Caenorhabditis elegans: one gene and its partners. The protein of the gene in region 3 interacts with the protein of the main gene of each other region in a pairwise test. Each region holds a gene or a part of one and is shown on either strand. Other genes may lie near its edges. The genes, in order: nhr-13, F54A3.6, mkk-4 and W03C9.2.

What was found.
Region 1: the proteins of mkk-4 (region 3) and nhr-13 interact in a two-hybrid assay, tested with the Caenorhabditis elegans proteins (one large-scale study listed by BioGRID).
Region 2: the proteins of mkk-4 (region 3) and F54A3.6 interact in a two-hybrid assay, tested with the Caenorhabditis elegans proteins (one large-scale study listed by BioGRID).
Region 4: the proteins of mkk-4 (region 3) and W03C9.2 interact in a two-hybrid assay, tested with the Caenorhabditis elegans proteins (one large-scale study listed by BioGRID).

What each region holds. Positions count from the first base shown.
Region 1 is NC_003283.11:2,190,949-2,197,347, reverse strand, and holds nhr-13 (Nuclear hormone receptor family member nhr-13), read right to left. Parts: upstream 4,864-6,399; 5' UTR 4,848-4,863; coding exon 4,764-4,847; intron 4,633-4,763; coding exon 4,479-4,632; intron 4,259-4,478; coding exon 4,104-4,258; intron 4,054-4,103; coding exon 3,892-4,053; intron 3,849-3,891; coding exon 3,717-3,848; intron 3,666-3,716; coding exon 3,601-3,665; intron 3,555-3,600; coding exon 3,310-3,554; intron 1,178-3,309; coding exon 1,029-1,177; intron 929-1,028; coding exon 834-928; intron 682-833; coding exon 645-681; coding exon of another isoform or gene 583-644; 3' UTR 521-582; downstream 1-520. Other genes in the region: srbc-42 (Serpentine Receptor, class BC (Class B-like)), read left to right, coding at 6,126-6,238, 6,340-6,399. UniProt on the Caenorhabditis elegans protein: Orphan nuclear receptor. Involved in regulating fatty acid desaturase genes, acting in concert with nuclear hormone receptor nhr-49.
Region 2 is NC_003280.10:2,226,462-2,234,421, reverse strand, and holds the start of F54A3.6 (Trithorax group protein osa), read left to right. Parts: upstream 1-1,951; 5' UTR 1,952-2,090; coding exon 2,091-2,112; intron 2,113-2,164; coding exon 2,165-2,193; intron 2,194-2,242; coding exon 2,243-2,378; intron 2,379-2,445; coding exon 2,446-2,500; intron 2,501-2,543; coding exon 2,544-2,613; intron 2,614-2,660; coding exon 2,661-2,729; intron 2,730-2,884; coding exon 2,885-2,953; intron 2,954-3,554; coding exon 3,555-3,593; intron 3,594-3,657; coding exon 3,658-3,747; coding exon of another isoform or gene 3,748-3,762; exon of another isoform or gene 3,763-3,834; intron 3,835-3,879; coding exon 3,880-4,011; intron 4,012-4,981; coding exon 4,982-5,229; intron 5,230-5,245; exon of another isoform or gene 5,246-5,297; intron 5,298-6,299; exon of another isoform or gene 6,300-6,353; intron 6,354-7,150; coding exon 7,151-7,484; intron 7,485-7,891; exon of another isoform or gene 7,892-7,951; intron 7,952-7,960. Other genes in the region: cct-3 (T-complex protein 1 subunit gamma), read right to left, coding at 611-720, 775-873.
Region 3 is NC_003284.9:10,026,135-10,030,640, forward strand, and holds mkk-4 (MAP kinase kinase mkk-4), read left to right. Parts: upstream 1-1,721; 5' UTR 1,722-1,726; coding exon 1,727-1,851; intron 1,852-1,904; coding exon 1,905-2,064; intron 2,065-2,108; coding exon 2,109-2,231; intron 2,232-2,344; coding exon 2,345-2,464; intron 2,465-2,510; coding exon 2,511-2,690; intron 2,691-2,942; coding exon 2,943-3,011; intron 3,012-3,055; coding exon 3,056-3,121; intron 3,122-3,171; coding exon 3,172-3,257; intron 3,258-3,311; coding exon 3,312-3,377; intron 3,378-3,426; coding exon 3,427-3,523; 3' UTR 3,524-3,996; downstream 3,997-4,506. UniProt on the Caenorhabditis elegans protein: Activity is required in presynaptic neurons, in a dose-dependent manner, for normal presynaptic development and morphology.
Region 4 is NC_003280.10:11,960,562-11,965,761, reverse strand, and holds W03C9.2 (uncharacterized protein), read right to left. Parts: upstream 3,395-5,200; 5' UTR 3,389-3,394; coding exon 3,308-3,388; intron 3,260-3,307; coding exon 3,092-3,259; intron 3,042-3,091; coding exon 2,858-3,041; intron 2,169-2,857; coding exon 1,892-2,168; intron 1,534-1,891; coding exon 1,345-1,533; intron 932-1,344; coding exon 862-931; intron 814-861; coding exon 667-813; 3' UTR 504-666; downstream 1-503. Other genes in the region: rab-7 (Ras-related protein Rab-7a), read left to right, coding at 21-107; W03C9.1 (uncharacterized protein), read left to right, coding at 3,701-3,871, 3,918-4,083, 4,132-4,289, 4,446-4,545, 4,589-4,749; W03C9.6 (MFS domain-containing protein), read right to left, coding at 5,180-5,200.

The DNA of each region.
Region 1 (6,399 bases), on a different chromosome or scaffold from region 3:
GGAGAATTGATATGGTAAAAAATTGCTGATTTTTTTTAATATTAGGGATACATTTCTGGATCTAGATATTCCATCCCAGCCGCGCTACAGGGGTTTTTGTCTTGAATTCCAATTTCAACAGGTACTACCCTTGCGAAAAAAGGGTGGCACAAAAATTTTGGAATTTTGGGAGAATTGAACTCATTCCTTCTCTTTTTTTCCCTGAATCTTGCAAATTTGGCAAAGCGAGGCCGCCAGATATTTCGAGAGACCCTACGAGTTCTTCCCGGAGCATTTCTCCCAGAGAGAGTCGCCGAACGAGAACCATTCGCATTCGTCCCATTCTCAGCGGGACCCCGAAATTGCATTGCACAGAAATTCGAGTTACTCGAAGAGAAAGTCTCACTCTCGTTGATTTTCCGCAACTTCACCGTCACCTCTATGACAAAGTTTCCCGAAGAAATGCCAATCCCGAGCTAATTTTGAAGCCGCAGTTTGGTACACATGTTATTTTGAGAAATCGAAAAAATTGTGAAATAACATTTAATAAATTGGTTTATTCGAATAATAAAGCTAGTCGTAGGATTTTGTATTTTGAATATTTCACCAAAAACTTGTCACATCAAGCATAAGACTATCCACTTTGAGGATTCCGAAAATTGAGATCATAACGAAGGAGCAGTTGACGTGTCGGATTTGTTCCTGAAAGAAATTTGTAACTTTAGGAATGAAATATGTGCTTAATCACGGTGAAATCGCAACCACGGGGGACTGGTAACGATGCACCATGTTCCTGCGAATTAACTGTTTGTTTGCTTGTTTTAACGCAATTTTTCGATAAACTAAAATAGTACCAAAAGCTTGTCAACGATATCATCGACTTGTCTACGTTGATAATGCCGAAAAAGGAGATCATTACAAATGAGCTGACCACGTGGCGAATGTTCACCTGTAATGAATCTCTACAGATATATCTACATTGGTTTTGGGAAATTAAGCAAAGTGTTAGTTTTTCTAGCAAAGCAATGCAATTTAAATTGAAACCATACCATAATATAGTTCAGAGCCATCATAACGTTGCCAAATCGTTCTCCAACATCATCACTGTCAAGGTGGCACACATGATGAAGAGCCCGGATCAGACGGTTGCGTTGAGCAATCGCGATACGGCGACCATCCTCGCTGAGGCGATAGTAGGCTGGAATTTAAATAGTGTTGAAACTGTTTAGATTACGCTTTTAACAAAACATAAAAACTTCTTACTGAGCTTTTACAAAACAGTTAAATTTAGGATAATAATCAATTTCTTTTAAATATAGAAACGTAGAATAATGTCTGTTCACTCTAAAAAATAGTATTGATCTTTCTTGATCTGTTCCATATAGAATTCAAAAGGAGCCTGAAAGCTGCCGTTTGCCGTAAAATTGTCGTAGAAATTTGTACGACCAACGGCGATTTTCGGGGGCTGTTTGGGATCTTTATTGCATTTTTCAGCGAAAAAAGTAAAACTTTCAGCTTAAGTGAACTTTTTCCTACATTTCTACAGTGCGCGCGCTTGCTATATGACCCCCCTAAATTTTGGCAGTATTGAAAAACTCCAAATTTTTCGTGGAAAACTATTATGATATTTGGAATCAGGGTGTCGGAAAACCTATAATCCCATGTTTTTATGAATTTATCATAAAAATTGAAAGCACCCGACCAATATTTCAAAAATAAGACCGCGCGTTTGCTATAGGACCCCCTGAGGTTTTTGAAAATTTTCACCGAAATTCTCGATTTTTTGAGCTTCTATGGAAAAACCAAATTCAAAACTGTGTTTAATTACACTTTCAATGAGAAATTGTTCCGATTTATAACTTTTCAGAAAAATTCAAATTTCGATTTTCACTAATTTTTCGCATTTTCAGACGTTTAAGCTCGAGAAGAAGCTCACGTACCACTTTTGTGCTTCAACTTTTATCACCTGATTTGAATAGTAGTTTCGCAGAGTTTCGTAAATTTTGAGCTGATTAGGACAACTTAAACTCATTTTACAGCACGATTTACGCAAAGCTTTTGCCCTGTTTTCAATGCGCAAGCTTATTATGGGCTCATATCTGAGCTGCCAACTGATAAATCTTTTCTACAGTTATCAGAGTATTTACCTTACACGTTTTGCTAACTGTTTCAGGCATGCAGTCACTGAGAAAAAATTCGCTCAACCATCTACTGTGATCGAAAACTCACTCAGCACAAAAAGGCTTGAGAATGTACTGCAAATTGAGAACTCGCGATTCGTCGCCTTCAGATGGTTGAGCGAATTTTTTCTCAGTGACTGCATGCCTGAAACAGTTAGCAAAACGTGTAAGGTAAATACTCTGATAACTGTAGAAAAGATTTATCAGTTGGCAGCTCAGATATGAGCCCATAATAAGCTTGCGCATTGAAAACAGGGCAAAAGCTTTGCGTAAATCGTGCTGTAAAATGAGTTTAAGTTGTCCTAATCAGCTCAAAATTTACGAAACTCTGCGAAACTACTACTCAAATCAGGTGATAAAAGTTGAAGCACAAAAGTGGTACGTGAGCTTCTTCTCGAGCTTAAACGTCTGAAAATGCGAAAAATTAGTGAAAATCGAAATTTGAATTTTTCTGAAAAGTTATAAATCGGAACAATTTCTCATTGAAAGTGTAATTAAACACAGTTTTGAATTTGGTTTTTCCATAGAAGCTCAAAAAATCGAGAATTTCGGTGAAAATTTTCAAAAACCTCAGGGGGTCCTATAGCAAACGCGCGGTCTTATTTTTGAAATATTGGTCGGGTGCTTTCAATTTTTATGATAAATTCATGAAAACATGGGATTATAGGTTTTTCGACACCCTGATTCCAAATATCATAATAGTTTTCCACGAAAAATTTGGAGTTTTTCAATACTGCCAAAATTTAGGGGGGTCCTATAGCAAGCGCGCGCACTGTATATTAGTTTTCATTTCAAAAAGTTGTATTATCACAATGACATTTACAGTTTTGTTTTACATTTGCCGCACATGCAAGACCGTAGGTAAAATTTAAAAAATGCTTTTCTATATTTTTATGATTTTTTTAAATTTGCAATTTGCAAAACTGACAAAAACGACCTAATCAAATTTGAATTCCCGCGCAAATGAATGACGTCATTTTCGACATTTTTGCGTCTTCTGGCCCAATTCATAAGTTTTCAAAATTGAAAAAAAAAACAAATGAAAAATTTTCAACATTTTCAAAAAAAATTTTTTAAATTTGTATTCAGTCATTACGGTCCATTTTCTATAATTTACAGCAAAATTTCAAAATGAAACTACCCCACTTACAAACATGCCAAACACAAATCGCTTTCAGCAGACAAAATTCCTCATGGGACGGAGCAAGTTGAGCAAACGGCACGCAGGTTTCCCACTGATGAAGGATGAGAGGCATCAGAGTTCGAAACTTCATAAGATCGTCCTGACTTTGAAACAGCAGATTTGCATTCTCCTCGTAGCCTGTCAATGGTGTGGGCACCATTGGGATAAAGGTACCATCGCTCAGGACGAGCTCGTTGTGCTCGATTCCTCGTCTGCAAGAATTCAATTTTCAGGTTGATTTTTCAAATCTGTACTAACTTATAAGTATAGTATGCTGAATTGATGACAAAATCTACAGCGCACACGAGACGGTAGCAGAAGACCTGGAAAATTGAAGTTGCATTTTTCAGAAGAAAAAAAGTTTGCCAACTTACACTATCTGCATAGTTCATCTCGTCGAATCCGGGCATACCACGCGCGTAGTCCATGATCATCACAAAATCGTGCTTCGACATTCCTTGGCTCAACTTGTAATCGAACATTTTCAGCGGAGCATTTTCGTATGGCTAAATTTGATGTTTAGTTGAGCCCATTACCCAAAATTCTCACCCATTCCTTGCCACTCTCCAGCACAATACTGATAGGCGTCTCAGCGTACAGTAGCCGTCTTCGATCACACATGGATGCTTCCAGTTTCAAGAATTTTGTCACTGTTTCTTGATTTTCAGCCGATACATTTTCTGATGGTTCTGATGATGGTCCTGGTGTGGACTGAAAAAATTCATTTAGTTTTTTTTTTTAAGAAATTGGATTTTGAAAACCTCATTTTCCATTTCAGCATCCGATTCTTGAGGATCATCATCATTTTGAATTTCTTCGGAATTTTCTTTGACATTGTCGCCGAGTACTGATCTTTTGCGAATTAATCCTTTGGAAATCCGGATGTAGTTTTTCCGCTCGTTTTTTGATTTCACCACTGAAAAATTATTACATTTTTGAAAATATTAAGTGTGGATAAATTTTTTAAAGCTTCAAATTTTTTTTTAAATTTTTCACAACAAAAAAAATTTAAAAATTCAATTAAAATTTTTCATTGAAAATTTTTTAAACTTTAGTCTTGATATCCCATATATTTTTAGTATATTTTCTTGTCGATTTTAAGATTCATTTTTCAAAATGTTTTCGTACAAACTCACACAATGGCTTCATACCAATATCATGGCACTTTTTGAGCCGGCAAAATCGGCAAATCACGCGAGAATCACAATGAACACGACAGGCATCCGGTTGGTCAATACACTGATAGTCGAGCTTCATAGATACGGTGCGACGGAAGAAGGCAGCACAAGCCTGAAAAATTTTAGGTTCAATTTTTTCAAAAAGTGATATTTATTGAAATAGGTGTGGAAAAGTTGCAAAACAAAATTTTTAGTTTGAGAACCTTCCGTAAATAATTATAAAATTCAATTTAAAATACTCACCTTGCAAGTTCTGGCTCCAAAATGATTGCAGGAACTATTCGAGGACGATGAGCACACCTCACAAGAATTCGGGTTTGTGGGCATTTTTCTGAAACATGGAACATTTTTATATTTTTTATTGCAAATTGAAAAAAAAGAAGTCTATAGCCAAAAAAACGCAAATAAATGCAAACATATTGAACCTCATTGAAACAAATTGGTGGGTATCGACGAGAACGAGGGCGGTGAGAGACAACTAGGTACATAAGAGACGCAGACACATCGACAACAATGTAGTCTCTCGTGGTAAATGATCGACAGCGGCAGCGGCAAATCATTTACTCCGATAATGAAAAATGATGAGAATTCGATTAATTGTGGAGAATTGAAGAGTTGAAAAATTTATCTGACACGGGCTCCTCATAAGGCGTGAGATTTTCAACATGCCCGCGAAATTCAAACATGAATTCTTTTCGGGAAAGCCAAAATCAACAGGAACAAATAAAATTAAGTTTTGAAAAAGGTGTTAAAAGATGGTAGTAAAACAACAGAAGTTAAAAAAGAAACGGAGCATTAATTTGAAAAGTCCGCTCAGGGTGATGTGGTCAACTTAAGGCGTGCATATTTACGTGAGCGGGGTTTTTTTTTCACATTTTGTTTTATAATGTAAAAAAGTCATTTCTAACATTAACTACCACAGACAACTTTTCTGGAAATGTTTGATTTTTTTCCAGTCAAAAATTTTCAGAAAGATACACACTTTCAACAAAATGCATAGTCACAGAAATTCTGCAAAAACCTACATTTGAACCAATTTTACGGGTCTCGAAAATTGTGAAAAACGCACAGAAAAATGTCCAAATTTTTCGAATTTATTTTTAGTATTTCAGAAAATGAAAAAAATAATTACAAAACAATTGTACGTAATAATTTATTGTTTGAAGTTTTTAATAAATGATTTATTTTTTACACATAAGCTATACATTTAATTGCTCTCAGAATTCCACTCGAGTTGTTTTTTTTTCTATTAAAACACATAAATCACTGGGTTTTTAATTAATTTCGGTTTTTCTTTAAAATTGTGATCCAAAACTAAAAGTTGCATTCCACTGGGATCAAGTTTATAATTTTCTTTTTACTATATGTGTGTTTTCAATCTAGATATAGTTCCGCATTTTCAAATTGCATTAGGTTGCCAAGTTAGTTGTTTTTCAGTGTTTTTCCAGTAGACAGTGATAATTGAATCGCCTTCGAATTTTAGACCTTTGTGATACTTCCTTGGTGTTCATATATTTTTTAATTTTTTTTTAATTTTGCTCATTTAAATAAAATGGGTTTCAATCAAACAGTTTTTTTTTGCTTTAAAATATTAATTTTCCAGAAATGGATAATCAGCCTATCATGAATGTCTCAGCTTTAATAGTCACTGCAATTGGGGTATTTTCGTCGTTGTTCGCATTTGCTATGAACATTTATATTCTGAAAAATTTTGAAAGGTACCTTTTTGAACAGCTGGTCAACGCCAAGTTTTTTTTATTTAGAAAAGTTTCACTGTATAATACAAATCATAGGCGTAGATAACTCCGCAATATTTCAGGAAAAAAAACGATATGGCCCTGTTCCGGTTCCGATTTTTTTTGGACGTGGTTCTTGGTAG
Region 2 (7,960 bases), on a different chromosome or scaffold from region 3:
TTTTTTTTTTCCGCAGAAAATTAGATTTTTAAAACTTTTTTTTGTGATTTCTCTGCTAAAAATTGAAATTCGGTTGAAAATCGTGAAAATTCGGCTGAAAACCGTCGAAATTTGGCCGAAAATCATAAAAAATTCGCCTAAAAATCATAAAAATTTGCCTAAAATCAAGAAAATTCGGGCACCTAAGTGCGATTTCTGCCAAAAAACCAAGATTTTGCGGAAAATAGCCATTTTTATTATAAAATCTGCTGAAAATGCTAAAAATTTGAAAGAAAAACATGAAATTTTTAACAATTTCGGCGTGAAATTGCATTTTCAGCGTTAAAATCCGATTTTTTAAAGCTATTTTCGCTATTTTTTACAGGGGAAAAGCCGATTTTTTAGCCATTTTTCTTCAAAAATCAGCTAAAAAGACCAAAATTTGGCCGAGAATCGTGAATTTTCAGCATTTTTCGGTGAAAAATCGGATTTTCAGCGTTAAAATCCGGTTTTCTAGCTATTTTCGCAATTTTTTTCAGGGAAAATTCGATTTTCCAGCCATTTTTCTTCAAAAATCTGCCGAAAAACGGTTTTTTTCGGTCAAAATCTGCACTTTCAGGCCTCTAAGCACCTCAAAATGGCGTTTCCGTCATTTGTCATGACAATTCCTCCCATTGGATCCATCAACATCTTTAGCATGGCCCGAGGGCCCAAACTTGTGCGAATCACGTCGGCGATCGTCTGAAAATAATTAAAAATTTGCGATTTTCATCGACTTTCAGCCCAAAATCTCACCTTGCAAGCGTTGATATTTCCGATTTGGACCTGATGGCCACTCTCACGCTTTGTACCCTGGCTGAGCACAATGATAGGCTGCTGTCCGGCTCCGCGCATCATTTTTAGCTGGAAATTTGGGGGAATTTTCAAGGAACACCTGGAGGAAAATGCAAAAATGGAAGAAACGGGAGTTTTTTCGCCATTTTTTTGGAAATTTTCTAGCAAAAATTGCAAAAATTCAGCTTTTTCCATCAAAAAATCGCTAGAAAACGCCATAAAATTGCCAAAAAGTCGCTAAAATTTCCGATTTTTGACAGAAATTTAGCTGAAAAAGCCCCAAAAATTGGCTAATTTTCAGATAAAAATATTCAAAAAACCGAGAAATTTGTATAAAAATCCACAAAATTTGGATTTTTGTCTGAAATTCAGTCAGTTTTTAGCCAAAAAAATTTGAAAAAACACAAAAAAACCGTTAAAAATCTGAAATTTAGCTGAAAAACCATCAAAATTGGCAAATTTCAAGCGAAAAAAACCGAGAAATTTATCGAAAAATCACTGAAATTCAGCTAAAAACCCTCAAATTCCGTGGGTTTTCAGTGAATTTCAGCGAAAAATTACCTAAAAATCGGCGGAAAATTGCTAAAAAACACAAAAAAGTCGTTAAAAATCCAAAAAATTTCGATTTTTATCCGAAATTTAGCTGAAAAACCATCAAAATTGGCCAATTTTCAGCGAGGAACCGCTTAAACAAGAATTTAGCGTTAAATTCAAATTTTCTAGGAATTTTTCTCGATTTCAGGGGTAAATACACCGAATTTTAAGGGTTTTTGGGTCATTTAAAGCCGAAAAAACGTCTAAAATCCCATAAAAACACGAAAAATCGAAGAAATTCACAAAAATCCGCCAGAAATTTTTCAATTCTTCTCGAAAACCGAATGGCGCCGTTTCAAAAAGAGGCTTCCAGTGCTTTTGAATGTTTTCGTGGCGAGACCCGCAGTGTTAAATTTTATTTTACACATTTCTGCCGCATTTTTCTGGAGTTTTCCTGCAAAATCATTATCACGACAATTATATTAGTTAGCTTGTAAAAAATCAGATTTATTAAAAGTCTAGAAATTGCTGAAAACAGGTCCCGAAAACCCCGCGGAATACGGTAACACTCGTTTCAGCTGTGCGATTTAATTTCGAGATATTTACGCGCTGTCGAAAGGGTATTTTCTGTTGACTTTCGCGGCGAAAACTCGAAAAAATTGGCAATTTCTATTGATTTTTGTCGATTTTTGCATAATTTATCGAAATTCGTGTTAAAAATCACATTAAGATCTCAAAAAACCATGCAAAACCACGGTGGAAATGGTGAGATTATCGATTTTTTCCGATTAAAACCCCGAAATTTCACATTTTTCAGGATATAATGGCTATCCGCCGCCAGAAAGGGTTAGTTTTCACGGGAAATTCAATGAAAATAATCATTTTTTTGTTCCAGAGATTCTACGACACGGAGAAAAGGGACGAGCGTTGGCGAGAGGAACGGCGAAGCGAATCTTGGCGGGAAAATCCCCAATTTCCACGACGAGAAGAAGCCTGGCGACCGATTCCACCACAATTTCAGCTTGGAAGAGGTATTTTAAGCTTGAAAATTCTGGAAAAACCAGGAAAAAAAACGGAAAAAACCAGAAAAAATTCCAGATCGAGCTCCAATGCCGGTCGACGACGCGTTTTTGGTGAGATATGGCGCAAAACGGTGAGTTTTTGGCCGAAACCCCGAGCTAAAAATGATTTTTCAGCCTTAACAACGGAAATTTAGTGGATCGAGACGGTTATACACTCAAAATCCGCGATCCAGACTGCCGAGCGGTAGGGTTTTCGCGCGGAAAATCACTGAAAAACCCCGATTTTTTCAGCCATCGCCTCCAAAATATAACCCGGGACGCGAGTTACGCAGATATCCAGACGCTTTAGTCCGAAGATCGGTGAATTTTTGAATAAAACAGAAAAAATGAGCCAAAAATGACCGGATTTGTGCAGTTTTTGCACGAAAAACCGCCATTTTCTCGATATTTTCTGGTTTTTTTGGGCGATTTTTGCCCTAATTCTTGAATATTTTATTGAAAAAATATTTTTTCAGCGCTCGCCACCACGATATCACTCAGGACCGCGTGAAGATCGATTTTCAGACAGAAATCCGCCTCGTGAAGTGAGTTTCAGCGAATTTTTGGAGAAAAATCGCTGAAAAATCGATTTTTTCGCAAGAAAATGAACTTTTTTAGCCAAAATTTCGCATTTTTAGCTGATTTCTAAGGAAAAATGGTTCGAAAATCGATTTTCCCGGCAAAAAATGAGCTCCGGGAGAGAAAACAGCAGGAAAAATGGATTTTAACGCTGAAAAACCGGATTTTCACCGAAAAAGTCTGAAATTTCGCGTTTTTCAGTTAAATTTTCAGCATTTTCAGCGAATTTCTGACTGAAAAAAATCGATTTTTTCGTGAAAAACTTTAATTTTTCTTGTAAAAATAGACAGAAACCCAAATTTTAACGCTGAAAATGCGATTTTTCACCGGAAAAGCCTGAAATTTCGCGTTTTTCAGTCAGAATTTAGCATTTTAAGCGAATTTCTGAAGAAAAATGGCTGAAAAAATCGATTTTTCTCGTAAAAAAAGCCAGAAAACCCGCTTTTTCACCGAAAAAGTCTGAAATTTCGCATTTTTAGCAGGAAAACCGGATTTTCAACGCTAAAAATGCAAATATTCACTGAAAAAATGCAATTTTACCCCAAAAAATCCCATTTTTTTTTCCAGCATTCACCACCACCACCTCAGAGATTTCCGGCGCGAGAGGTGAGTTTTAGGCGAAAAATTGCCCGAAAAACCCTAATTTTCCCCTAAAAATTCATATTTTCAGCGTTCTCCTGCATATATCCCGGGAAGATCGATTCAAAGTGCCGAAAAACCCGGAAATTGGTCGAAATTGAAGAAAAATGACCTGGAAGAGGTGAAAAATGGCTAAAATTGGCCAAAAATTCGGAAAAAAAGACTAAAAATCCAAAAAAAAGCCTAAAATCGTCCGAAATTCGGAAAAGTTACTGAAAATCGCCCAAAACCCCGAAAATTCGCTAATTTTCAGAAAGCCCGGAAACATATGGAAATGATGAAGGAATTAGAGCAAAAAGAGCACGAAATTAAGGAAAAACGGCCGAAAATTGACGTAAAACCCGAAGAAATTGAGGGAGAAGATGAATATGAAGACGTTGAGGAGGTAAAATCGCTCGAAATTCGTGGAAAATCGCTGAAAATCCCTCAAAAAGCACGAAAAACGGCTTAAAACCATCGAATTTGTGGAAAAAGTGCTCAAAAACGATCAAAAATCGAGGAAAATCACTAAAATCCGCAAAATTTCGATTTTTTTCCTGAATTTTAGCGAAAAATCCTCAAAATTCTCGAATTTTCAGCCCATTTTTCCTAAAATCCAATAGAAAATTGTCAATTTTTTCGAGAATTTCCAGCAAAATCGACTGGAAATTGTCTAAAAATTGCCAAAATTCCGATTTTTAACTGAAATTTCTCCAAAATATTAGAATTGGCCAATTTTCAGCGAAAAAATGGCGAAAATCCGAGAAATTTGAATTTTTGTCTGAAATTCAGTCAGTTTTTAGCCAAAAAATGTTTAAAAAACAAGAAATTTATCGAAAAATCACTGAAATTCAGCTAAAAACCCTCAAATTTCGTGGGTTTTCAGCGAATTTTAGCGAAAAAAAATCGAAAAATCTCCAAAAATTTGAATTTTTATCTGAAATTTAGCTGAAAATCCTTCAGAATTGGCCAATTTTCAGCGAAAAAATGGCAAAAATCCTCAAATTTTGTGATTTTTCAGTGAATTTCAGCGAAAAACCCCCCTAAAAACCACTAAAAATACTGAAAACTGAAATTTAGCGGCGGAAAATGCTGTAAATTTCTCAAATTTTTAGGTAATTTTATTAACGCAAATTTATCGAAAATTGCTGAAACTCCACTGAAAACTGAAAAAATCCCCAAAAATCGTGAATTTTCAGCCAATTTTTTACACGATAATTGAAAAAATCGGCGGAAAATTGCTAAAAAACACAAAAAAGTCGTCGAAAAATACAAAAAATTCCGATTTTTCTGAAATTTAGCTGAAAAACCGCTCAAAATCCGTAATTTTTTAGCGAAAAATCACCTAAAATCCTCTAAAAATCCCAAATTTTCAGCCAATTCCCCCACCAAATACTCGTAAAACGTTGCTCGGCGAGCCACCAGCGGGAGCAGCTTCATCCTCATCACCATCAGCTCAATCATCAACTGGCTCATCAACTGGCACATCTTCTTATCAAAATAATATTAAAAAAGCATTAATTCCCGGTAAACCACCAGGACAACCGATTATCAGAAGAAAACCAGCTTCATGGTATGAAATGTACAAAAAACAAGTGGATTCATTGAAAGAACAGGTTTATGGGTGAGTTTTTGGATGGAAATCGATGGAAAATGACCGAAAATTGGAAAAATCGACGAAAATCGACTGGAAATGGCTTAAAAATCGACGAAAATGCTGAAAAATGAGCTGAAAAATGTCAAAATTTCGAAAAATTGGCCGGAAAATGACCGAAAAATTGGAAAAATCGACGAAAATTGACTGAAAATTCAATTTTTGGCTAAAATTTCCGATTTTTCGACGATTTTCACTGGAAACTGTCAATTTTTTGAATAAAAATTCGGAAAAATCCCTTTTTTTTTCAGCTTTTTTCCATCAGAAAATCGGCAATTGTCACCCAAAATGCGGATTTTTTTCTGAAAATGAACGAAAAATCGACAAAATTGCCAATTTTTCGCCCCAATTTCCCGAAAATTTTTATGAAAAACTTTCAATTTCTCGCCAGAGTGACTGAAAATTCGGAAAATCCCCAAAATTTCAGCTTTTTACACCAAAAATCGCTAAAAAATCCCGAATTTTCCACGAAATTCTCCCGTTTTTTCAGGGAAAAATCGAAAAATTCCCTACTTTTTCGTTAAATAGCCCATTTTTTCAATTTTTTTCACCAGAAATGCGGATTTTTTCACTAAAAATTGCTGAAAATAGCCGCATTTTTTCCAATAAAAATCGATTTTTCCAGCTTTTCTCATCGTCGAAATCGCCGGAAATGGCTCAAAAATCGACGAAAACCTTCAAAAATCGACGAAAAATGACCGAAAAATAGCTGAAAATTGGCATAAAAATGCCAAAATTTTACTTTTCAACAGGAAATTCCAAATTTTTCCTGGAAAAAAACACTATAAAACGCGCAAATTTCCGATAATTTCGCGGAAAAATGTGCTGAAAATTGAATTTTTCCATCAAAAAATGGTAGAAAAATCCGAAAAACTTGATTTTTTCAGCTTTTCGCATAAAAAATCTCCAAAAAACCCCGAATTTCCTCGTGAAACTTGCTGAAAATCCAAAAAAAAATCGATTTTTCCAGCTGTTTCCGTTGGAAATCACGGAAAAATCCTCGAAATTTCCAAATTTTCCGTCTCAAAAATACGAAAAACTCTATTTTTTCCAAGTTTTTCCACCAAAAATCGCTGAAAATCCCGAATTTTCCATTATTTTCACCGGAAATCCTCAATTTTTTTGAGAAAAAATTCAAAAAAAACTATATTTTTCCACTTTTTCAACTTAAAATCTCATATTTTTCACTAAAAATCCTATTTTTTTCCCTCTAAAACCTCTCAATTAACTGAAAATGGTAAAAAATCCGGCAAAAACGGTAGAAATTTGACTAAAAATGGCCGAAAATTCGGAAAAAATGGTAGAAAGTTGACTAAAAAAGCCAAAAAATCGGAAGAAAATGTCAAAAATTCACTGAAAATTGCCGGAAAAACTGAAAAAAGCGATGAAAAATGATTGAAAATGTCAAAAAATTCGGCAAAAACGGTAGAAAATGGTCAAAAAACCGAAAAAATCACTGGAAAATTTGTAAAACTTTCAAAATTTCACTGAAAATGGCCGAAAATAGCCTGAAAATTCAATTTGCTACATGAAATATCAGATATCAGATTTTTAACTGTAAAACTGGCAATTTTTTGAAATTTTTGAATTTTTTCACTAAAAAATGCGGAAAAATTGCATATTTTCGCTGAAAAACTTCAATTTTTAATTACTCCATTAAAAATTACCCAAAAAATTCCGATTTTCCCTCTATTTTCATCGGAAACTATCAATTTTCTGGCAAAAAAATCACACTAAATTCGTTGAAAAATCGCCTAAAAACCCCGAATTTTCCTCGATTTTCACCAAAAAAGCGGAATTTTTCACTAAAAACTAAATTTTTTTCAGCTTTTCCCCGTCAAAAAATACAAATTTCGCCTATTTTCTCCGAAAATTCACAATTTTTTTCCAGAAAACCCAATCCACCACCACCATCAGCCGGTTATTTCTTCCAAGCACCACCTCCAGCACCAGCTTCTTCTTCATCTACAGTACCCCCTGCTGTGAGCCCATTTGGTGTCCCACTTGGAGCACAACCATCCACCACGTCATCCACCACCTACAGTAGTAACTACAGTAACCCGTCGTATCCGCCGCCGCCAAAAGTTGATCTACCACCACCGGGAATTGTTCAACTGGACAGAGTCGTCTATCCTCCTGTATCACCACCGAGCCCACCATTGGCGGCTGCTGCTCCGCGAGCATCAGAGCATTTTGTTCGAAATGGACCAGTTTTGGGTCGAATGGTACGGAAAAGCTGGAAATTTAGAGCTTTTAAGCTCAAAAAGTTCTCTGTTTGGCTTGAAAATTGCAAAAATTTCAGTAATTTCAGCTAAAAATCCGTGAAATTCAAGCTTTTTGGAAGCTTTCAACTCAAAAATTGCCTGAAAATTCTGAAATTTTGAGCTTTTTGGCTTTAAATTGCTCTGAAAATTGAAAATTTTGGCTTCGAAACTTAAAAATTCGTCCAATTTTGAGCCAAAAAGTGTTTTGATAATTTTGATAATGAAAATCAGCGAACATTATTTTGAAATATCGAAAATTGGCAAAAAATTCGAGAAATCCTACAAAATGCTCAAAATTTTGAAATTTCCATCTCAAATTCGAATTCCTCGCGAAATTTCCGCCGCTTGAAACCCGAAAACCAGAGCTCTCTAGCTCAATTTTGAAATTTCCCGGGTTACTGTAGCGCCAAAAGTACGCAAACACCGACCTACAGTAC
Region 3 (4,506 bases):
TTATATCAAACCACCCGTTTCCCCACTCCACCTGTCATAGTAAATAAAAACGAACTCAATCAAGCCGCAATACTCAAGTACATAAACAATATGTTTCAATAATTCGCGCCTAGCAACCGAAGTGCATGCTCGAGTAACCAATATAAGGTGTCGAAGAAAACAAACTGCAGCGGGACACAGCGATTAAATCAATCTAGCGTGGTGGTCATATAAGAAGTGCGAGAATATACTGAAGACGTACGCAAGTAGTAGTGTCCAGTTCCACTAACTATCGGTCGTTTGCCTCCCTGTTTCTTCCATTCATGCGTGCCCTCTTCTCCTCTTTCTCTTACTCCCGCGATTCTATTTCTCGACCACTCTCTATGTTTTATGTCATCTCTCTATTGATTCTCGTCTCGGTAGGCTTCCTCGGTTTCTTGTTCCTCCGAGTTCCCTCAAATGTTTTCCTTTCTCCGTTTCACTCATCCCTTGGTTTTCTCGCCGGCTTCCATTTTTATTGACTACTCATTTTTCAAACGTTTTTTGTCTCTTCTTCTCTGTCAGTGATTTTGATTTTTTTGTGTTCCCTTTCTCTCTTTATCTATCTTGCATGATTCATCTCCAACTTTGACAGTCAACTCATAAAACAGAAATGTTTACACTACATGAGCTGCTACTAGCTACGTCAATTACTATTTCATCCTCGTGACGTAGATTATTCCTAAACTTAGCACACAAAAAGAGCAAAGCTTAAAACTTCCTTTTCACATTTCATCATTTTGCAGCTAGTGTCATAATGTTAGCATCAGTCTTGTAGAAAATTATTAATATTTTTTGGTGTCACTTTATTTCAAACACAAAATACTAAAAATGATTATTCAGAATCTTGGAATTATAAACATTGTAAAAATTACTTTACAAAAACTCACTTAAAAGTATATATAATTTCCCGCATTATTAATCGTGAAATAAACAAGGCCATTGAAATCCGAAACAATTCCGAAGACAACGACCTACCGTTTTTTTCTAAAACTGGTCCTGAAGGTTACTCAAGTGTTCAGTTTGACAAAGACGTGGTCATCTTTTACAAAAATCTTAAAACTATTGCTGACCGACCTCACGATTTTTTCTTCAAGTTTTTTCTTCTTCAATTTCAAAAATGTTTCCTTACAGTTTTTCCAAGGTTTCAATTGTGTTTTCAAGGGCTTCCAACCTTTTTCTCATCAAACTTGCTATACGTCATTGTGTATGGTTGTATTATATTTGCTCAGAGTCATTTCAATTATTGACTGATTCCCACGCTAATTCAGCTTTATTCTGGCTTATTTTGTCAAAGTGAAAAAGTAATGTAATTGTTTCGTTTTTTGTACTGTGGTGATTGTGAACTTTCATTTGTTTCCTTTCTCAAACATACATTTCTCATTGTAACACACGTTAAACACAAAAGATACAACATTCATTTTGTTTTTACTTTGAAAATATCACAAAGGAATAGTTGGCAAAAAAAACCTGTCAACAATTTAGGTGGGCTGAAATTTCAATTCAACATTTTCAAATTTCTAGGTCTTAATTCACGCAATACTTCAATATGACAACATTACTTTTTTTAGTACATTGAAAATGCTTGACTCCATTATTCAATTTTCAGATTTCACGCATTTTCCTATTTGCTCTGATCAAATTTTGATTTTAATCTTTCTATAATTTTATTTATTTCCTGTTTTTTATTTTTACATTTTCAGAGTTAATGGTTCAAGAAGATGACGAGAATTTACGCAATTCAATGTCCCTTCGGCCGACTTCGTTGTCAACACGTCCCACATCACTTTCGGTAAACGGAAATGAGAAGACGCTTCCAGAAGAAAGTGTGTTGTGAGTGTTTTTTCCTTTTTTCAATTAGTCATTAGTAATCCTCTCGTTTTCAGACGTTCTCTTTCGACAGGCACATTAAAATACCCTGATGACGAACATTTATACACATTCAGCTCCGCTAATTTACAAGATCTTGGAGCAATTGGAAACGGCAATTTTGGAACAGTTTACAAAATGCGTCACAAAGAAACTGGAAAACTGATAGCTGTGAAGGTTTGACCAATAATTTGTTTTGTGAAAAACAATGTTTTTTTCAGAGGATACGATGCAACAACATTGGACATAGAGAACAAATCCGCTTACTTCGAGAGCACGACACAATTGTGAAATCCGAGAAAGGACCAAATATCGTGAAGTTTTACGGAGCGATTTTCAGCGAGGTGGGTATAAGAACAGATTTCAATTAAAGCAAAAATTTTGTTTGCGTCATGGTGAATAGTAAAACGTATATCTATATTTTTGTTTTCAGTTTTTTTTAATTCAAACTTTACAGGGTGATTGCTGGATTTGCATGGAACTGATGGACATTTCGATGGACCTTCTTTATAAACGAGTATATATGGTGAAAAATAGTCGGCTGAATGAAAATGTCGTCGGACATATCACAGTTTGCGTGAGTTAACATTATATAATAATTTGGAGTATTTATATTTTTACAGACTGTAGATGCATTGGATTATTTGAAGAAAGAATTAAAAATTATTCATCGAGACGTGAAACCCTCCAATATTCTTGTAGACGGAACTGGAGCAGTGAAACTTTGCGATTTTGGTATTTGTGGGCAGTTAGAAGAATCATTTGCGAAAACTCATGACGCCGGTTGTCAGCCGTATCTTGCAGTAAGTGTTTGAGTGTGTTCCATAAAGATCTAATAATTTTTTTAACATTTGTTCAAAAAAGTCTAAACCAAACCTTTAGCTGTTCTGCATTCTTCTTCTACATTGTTACTACAATTAGGAAATTCGGGTTTCGAAAATATTTATTTTTTTGAAATTAAAAAAAATGATAGAAGGTAGAATTGTAAATTGGTGGACAATTAGCAAAATATGATAGACAAGTTTCGAACATATGTTGAGTTTGTTTTTATTCAGCCCGAAAGGATTACAAGTTCAGACAAATATGATGTGAGATCGGATGTGTGGTCATTGGGAATAACTTTGGTAATTTTTTTCTGTTTTCAAAAATCCACAAACAAAATTTTTAGTACGAAATAGCAACAGGAAAATTTCCCTACCAAGAATGGAATTCACTTTTTGATCAGATTGCTACAGTGAGTTATTATCTATATCATTGCGCTATTTGTAGAAAAACATGTTTTAGGTAGTAAGCGGTGATCCTCCAATTCTACATCCAGACAGCGACGATTTCCATTACAGTTTGCCGCTTGTCAAGTTTATCAATACTTGGTGAGTTTGTTTTTGTAACATATAATTGGCAAAGTTTGTATTGAAATTCTTCAGCTTAACTAAAGACAGACGCCATCGGCCCAAATATGATACTCTGAAGAGTTTTGACTTTTATAGAATGTGAGTTTTTTATTTTCTCATTTAACAGATATCACGTATTAAATTTCAGATACGCAGTTGCCGGACCCGAAATTGAAGAGGCTAAGCGAATTCTTGGAGTTGAAGCAATTGACACAAGAAATCATCCTGTCGACCACAGAGGATAGATATTTACTGATTTCCAATTTTATCATGTTTTTGTAGATCTTTGTATTTTTTGCCAGGTTTTCAAAATTTTCAAACTACTTCTTTGATTTCTTTGAAAATTCTTCGATTCGTTTTTCATATTATTGTTTTTCAAAATATTCTTCGCAGCTTACTCAATTTTTGTCATTTTCCTATTCTCCCGACGCACAATAATAATTTGTTCCGTGATAGTGAATCCAACTAATTTTTTTTGGATAATTCCAATCGTCCATCTCACCCATCCCATTCAGAGCTCTACATTGTTAAAATATTTCGACGCTTTGGTATTGTCGTGTTTATTTCTCATCATCTCTCTTTCTCACTCTTTCTCTCTCTCTTCCCTCCGATTGTGCTAGCTTCCCATCTTTTGATCTCAACACACACCATGGTTCTTCTAATCAGTAACAATCATTTTGCAACAAACTCTAATTCTTTTAATAAACTGTTTTACACTAAGAAATGTGTTTAATTTTTATTCGTTAAGCCCTTAAATTGTGTTTTTACCATTCCGATTCGATGATGAGATGTTGATGAAGAATTAAGATCGTATAGTTATTCTTTTTTTTTTAATAGTTTTCTTATTAAAATTGTAATATAAAACATTTATACAATATAAACTCCAATGTTAAAACAATGTTCAATTTCGAAAAAAACGAGTCTTTTGAAAAAAAAACACTCTTTTGAAAATTTGAACCTGGTTTTTGAAACATATTTTTATTATTTCAAATATAAACATAGAATAAAATGCGTGAAATCAAAAAAAAAAGTGAAAAATAATATGAAAAACATTCAATGTGCCCCAAACTCTTAAACTTTCTTTCTTCAATATTATTAAATTTTTAAAATAGCTTTCCTAATACACAACCACACACGTTATTGTGATGTCACACGTAGAAACATTTTATGATTCATTCAACAGTTTTACTTTTGGTCAAGGTTTTACAAATAAACTTCATGTTTCATT
Region 4 (5,200 bases), on a different chromosome or scaffold from region 3:
AAAAATTTTAAATTTTTCAGGAAACCAACGATTTCCCAGAGTTTCCCGACCAAATCCGTCTCAACCCAAATCAACAGAACCAGCAGAATTCGGGATGCAATTGTTAACCGTGTGCTGCTCCGCGCAGAGCCCTCTATCTCTATCTGCACAAAATGTATTTTTGACACATTCGATTCAATTCAATTCAATCCACACAACACACATTTCCTCTTCCCTCGTCTCCACTTTCTAAAAATCCCAAAAAATTTGAAAAGAAAATCCCACAGATTACGGTAGTCACCCTTTGCCGGTCCCCAATCACCATCTACTTTTTTTCTGGGAAATTCTTCCGTTATACACACCATTCGATGCCTTCTAGTTTTTCATTTTCACTCAAACTCACTTTTTTTCTTCATTTTTTCTCGTTCCCCCCCCCCCCCCCTGATATATTTGCCATTCATTTGTAAATTTTTACACCGAAATTCTAATTTTTTTTTCGAAATTCAGTTCCCTTCCCAGAAATTATTGCATGTTCTTTTTATATAAATTTAACATCCACACAAGAATGAGCATATATTGTCCGAATTTTAGGCTTTCTAGGATATGTTTTAGGTAAAATTTACAAGTTTTGTGAGTGAGTAGGGTCAATATTTACAGTTTTTTCTTCAATTTTCAACAAGCTGGCTCTCAATTGGCGTCTGGAAGTGGCTGAAACTGGTTGCGGAGGATGTAGTCGCTGAGGCGTTCCTCGCGGAGCAAATCGCGATCCAAATGTGGACGATACGTGTGTGGATACAGTTGAAGACGAATCTCGTACAGGAAATTGTCCAGAGCCTGAAAACCCGAGATTTTTTTGGAAATTGTGGGGATTTTCCTGAAAACCTTGTAGCAGAACGCGGCTTCTCCCTTGCACTTGCCGCAACGCTGGTCGAAGCAAAGAATACACTCGAATCTGGAAAAATTAAACAAATTGCATATTTTTGGTGGAAATTAAATAGAAAATCCATTAAAAGAACAATTTTCGCTGAAATTTTATGGAAAATTGTCTCGAATTTTATTTTTTTTAATTTAAAAAAAATTTTAAAATTTTTCTACGGGAATTTCAATATTTAAAAGTATACATAATTTTTTTTTCTCAGAGAATTTTATAAAAATTCCAAAAAAAAATTAAATTTGCACCGAAATCTTGTAAATGTTTTTTTTAAAAATTCACATAACCGAAAATACGAAACTTTTTTCACGATTTTCTTAAAAATAGGCGAAAACTGAATTTTTGATTGAAAAAATTCCGAAATTTCCTCAAAAAATCCGATTTTAACTCGTTTTTGACGAATTTTCAGTGATTTTTCTCATTTTCTCCCTTACGATTCTTCATTATGATCGCATTCCTGACGTTTTCTCTTCTTATTCCCGATTTTCTCTTCCGAAGATCCCTTTGAAGATGAGCTATTTGCTCCGAGAGCTCCCGGAATCAACAAATTTCGCATTGCCATTGGCCAAAGTGAGCTCTCCTGTTCGAGTGGCTTGATGTGGCGGAAGCTTTTTGAAATATTTCTGAAAATTCGTTAATTTGAAAATTTTGTTTGAAAATGTTCTGATTTTTCAGGTTTTGAGTGAATTTTTCGATTTTTTTAAGCGAAAAATTCGAAATTTCTTCTATTTTTCATGAAAAATCCCTCAAAAACATACATTTTTAACAATAAAAAAACTAAAATTTCGGATTTTTTGAGGGAAAAATTCGAAATCTGTTCGATTTTTCCATTAAGCGTACGAATATTCATAAAAATTATGGAAAATTAGTTTTTTTTTCAAATTTTCCATGAAAATCCCATCAAAAATTGATTTTTTCGATTTTTCAATCAATAAATTCGAATTTTCTTCACATTTCACCATCAATTTCTGATATACTAACGCGACAAAAGCCTGCGCAAAAACGGATCCAATAGTGCCGGCGAGTTCCTGTGACGAATCGGACATTTTCGCCTGTGGGCTCATCAGACAAATGCACAAAATTCGGCCCAAAATCCGATGGTCCAGGCTGACGCAGAGGCCTTTGTCGAGAAGTCGAATCAAATGATTTCCGTCCAAATGACCGATATTTGTAGACATTAGGAAACGCTCACAGTTGGTGAGAAGTGGTTCACTGTGGAAATGTGAAAGCATATCCAGGACGGGGACGATGCTTGACACTGAAAATTTGCGATTTTTTAAGTGAAAATTTTATTTTTTTGCTACAAAATACCTGAAAATAGCCCAAAATTTGATAAAACCACAAAAAAAACCACGCGAATTTTGAATTCCCTCAAAAATGAGTGCTGCAACCAATCAGCGATGAGCTCCGCCCACAGCTAATCGCTGATTGGTTGCAGATCTCATTTTGGTGGCAATTCAAAAATTCATCCAATTTTGAGCCTTTTTAGCTGAAGTAGCGTGTATTTTAATTGAAAAAAATAAATTTTAGGCCATTTTTCCATAATTTTAATATTTTTGCGTAAGAAACTGATTTTTAAACCTAGTTTTAAAAAAAAATTATTTTCTTGCTATTTTTCAATGAAATGTGCAGAAAAATCTCTATTAACTATAAAAAGAATCAATTATGAGCTATTTTTAGTTGAAAATCAAACAAATTTGTCTTTTTTTTTTAGCTAAAATCTGTTGAAAAATAGCGTCAAAATCCATTTCTCACATACATAGTTTCTCAAAAAAAAATCAACTCAAAAGTGCAATCTGAGCCTTTTTTTAATTGTAAATGCCAAAAAATTGAAATTTTCTCCGATATATTGCAAAATTCGATCAAAATCCAATATTTCCTGCTGAAATTCCAGTGATTTTCCAACATTTTTCCAATTTTCGCTCCAAAAAATCCTAAAAATATTACAAGTGAGAGGTGTTGGGCGAATCCCGTAAAGCGATGGGCACACCGAGTCCAGAAACGCGTGGAAATTTCTGGAAATGATCGGCGATTGGAAGCGGTGACTGCAATCCTCGTGCGGTGCCGCAACACTTTCCGGAGCCGAAATCCACGTGGATTTGCAGTTTGTCGAGAATTCCACGTAGCTGAGCTGTAAAAAATTCACTTTAATTCTGAAAAATCACTTTAAAAAACACTTACGCCATCGAATTTCTCAAAATAAGCGCAACTCGGGACGAGCTCCTTCAAATCGACGAAAAAATTCACTGAAACTTCAGATTTTTCCGGATTTTCTTGATTTTCCAGACATTTTGTGATGAGTGTGATGCGAAATTGTCGATTTTGCGACTGCTCGTGATAGTTGACAGCCTGAAAATAGGAAAATTTTGGGTTTTCAGTTTTCTTGTCGATTTTTACTTTTTGCAACGGAATTTTCGCTTCATCCAGCGTATTCATGAGCTCAGAGGTAACACAGAGTGAGCACGTGTTCCATGTCATCTGAAAAGTGCAAAAAACTTGAAAAATTTAGTGAAAAAGAAAGGAAAATGGATAAAAAATAAAAATTTGCGCCCAACGATGCTCCGAAATAACAGCGGAGCATCGTAGCGTGTGTTGTTTAGCGTAAATAATAAATCATTTGAAAATTCAAAATTCATTAAAAAAAAGAAAGAAGAAAATCGTGAAAACCACAGAAAAAAACAAGGAAAAAGATTTTAATATTATCAACAAAAAAAAAACAAAGTGTTAAAAAAATTTATTTCTAATTCCAAACATCTCTCGAACCTTCGATTCAATTCTTCTACAACAAAAATGCAGCAAGATCAGTTTTTTCTAATCGTAACTTTCCCATTTCTCGTTACAAGTTTCGCACTCGTCTCGTGCCTGAAAACGGCTTGGAAGTTTAAGGGATCTGCTGACCCCTCAGAAGCTTACACAAAAACTTTGCCAGTCGCTGTGAAACCGAAAAAAGACGAGAAGAAGGTAAGTGCGCTCTAGTGCTAATGGGTGGCAAATTCAAATTTCTCAGATAAAACCAGGAAAAACTGTGAAAAAAGTCGATGGAAAGGACAAAAAGGCGAAGAAACTTTCGAAATTTTTCGTTTTCAATCACGGAAAAGACGAGGATTTGAAAACCGCGGTCGGTAGCGAACCCACGTTGGATTCCACACAAGAATCGATCACTGAGGACGACGGCAAGTGCGCCCCATTGAGAACCATCCCGCGAAATTCAAATTTTCCAGAACACGAGTCACCTCTCAGTGATAACTACAAGTTCAGTGATGACGAGAAGCTCGACGGACTGCAAATTCTGCCGTCTCCGCCGCCGAAATACGTGGAAAAACTGAGATCTCGTGTGCGACAAACTCGGCGTGGCAAGAAGAGCCCACAGGACTACTATGTACGTGTAAAATCGTGTAAAATTAACTTTAAGTATAAGTATATTGAGTTTGAATTGAGTTTGAAAAAAAAAATGTGGGTCCCACCACGAAAAGCTACAGTAACCTGAGCTGAATTCAAATTTCTTGATCAAAATCCGAAATATTTTAAATTTCAGTGCACCGACGAAGAAGATTCGCTATTCGATGTCCCATCCCTGAAGATTGACCCGGCAACCCTAAAATCTTCCCGATCAAGCATTCCGCTGAATATTCAAGGTACATACAGTAATCCATATACATCCACATCTCTATATATCAGACTCCCGTTTGCTCCGCCTCAACCAAGATCGCCTCGCCTTCAAAAAAAGCCACACAGTGTACCCTCATTCTGCAATCTCGCCGCACTCGAATCGCATGCATCGTTCCGAATCGCGTTCTTCCCGAGAGTCGGAACCAACTACTATCTCACAGAGATCTTGAGAAATCAATAAAGTTGTCTTGATTTCAACGAAAAAGTGTTAAAAGTGTAAAAAGCCTCAGCTAATGAAATCACCTCACCAACAGTCAGTGATATGCTCAATTGATCATCAACGGCAAAGCGGCGGGGGGGGGGGGGTCGAACCCGCGGCGTGTTTCACGGCCGCGCAGCCGCTACCCGCCTGCGCCACAACGGTGTCACCGAAATTGAACGACAAGGCATTGACAAGAGAGCGGCACGAGGAGGAGTGTGCCGAGCAGAAATATCCAAAAATACAAATAATTAAATTTTATTCATCGCATTAAAAACAAATTAAGAGCACAGAAAAATACAGAAATAGACCCGAATATCTCATCAAATTGAAATACAAAAAAAACGTGATAAAATTCAAAAAACGTTCGCAACAAATTTTCGAAAAAAAATCTTCCACTTTTACGAATACTGCCGAAGCCT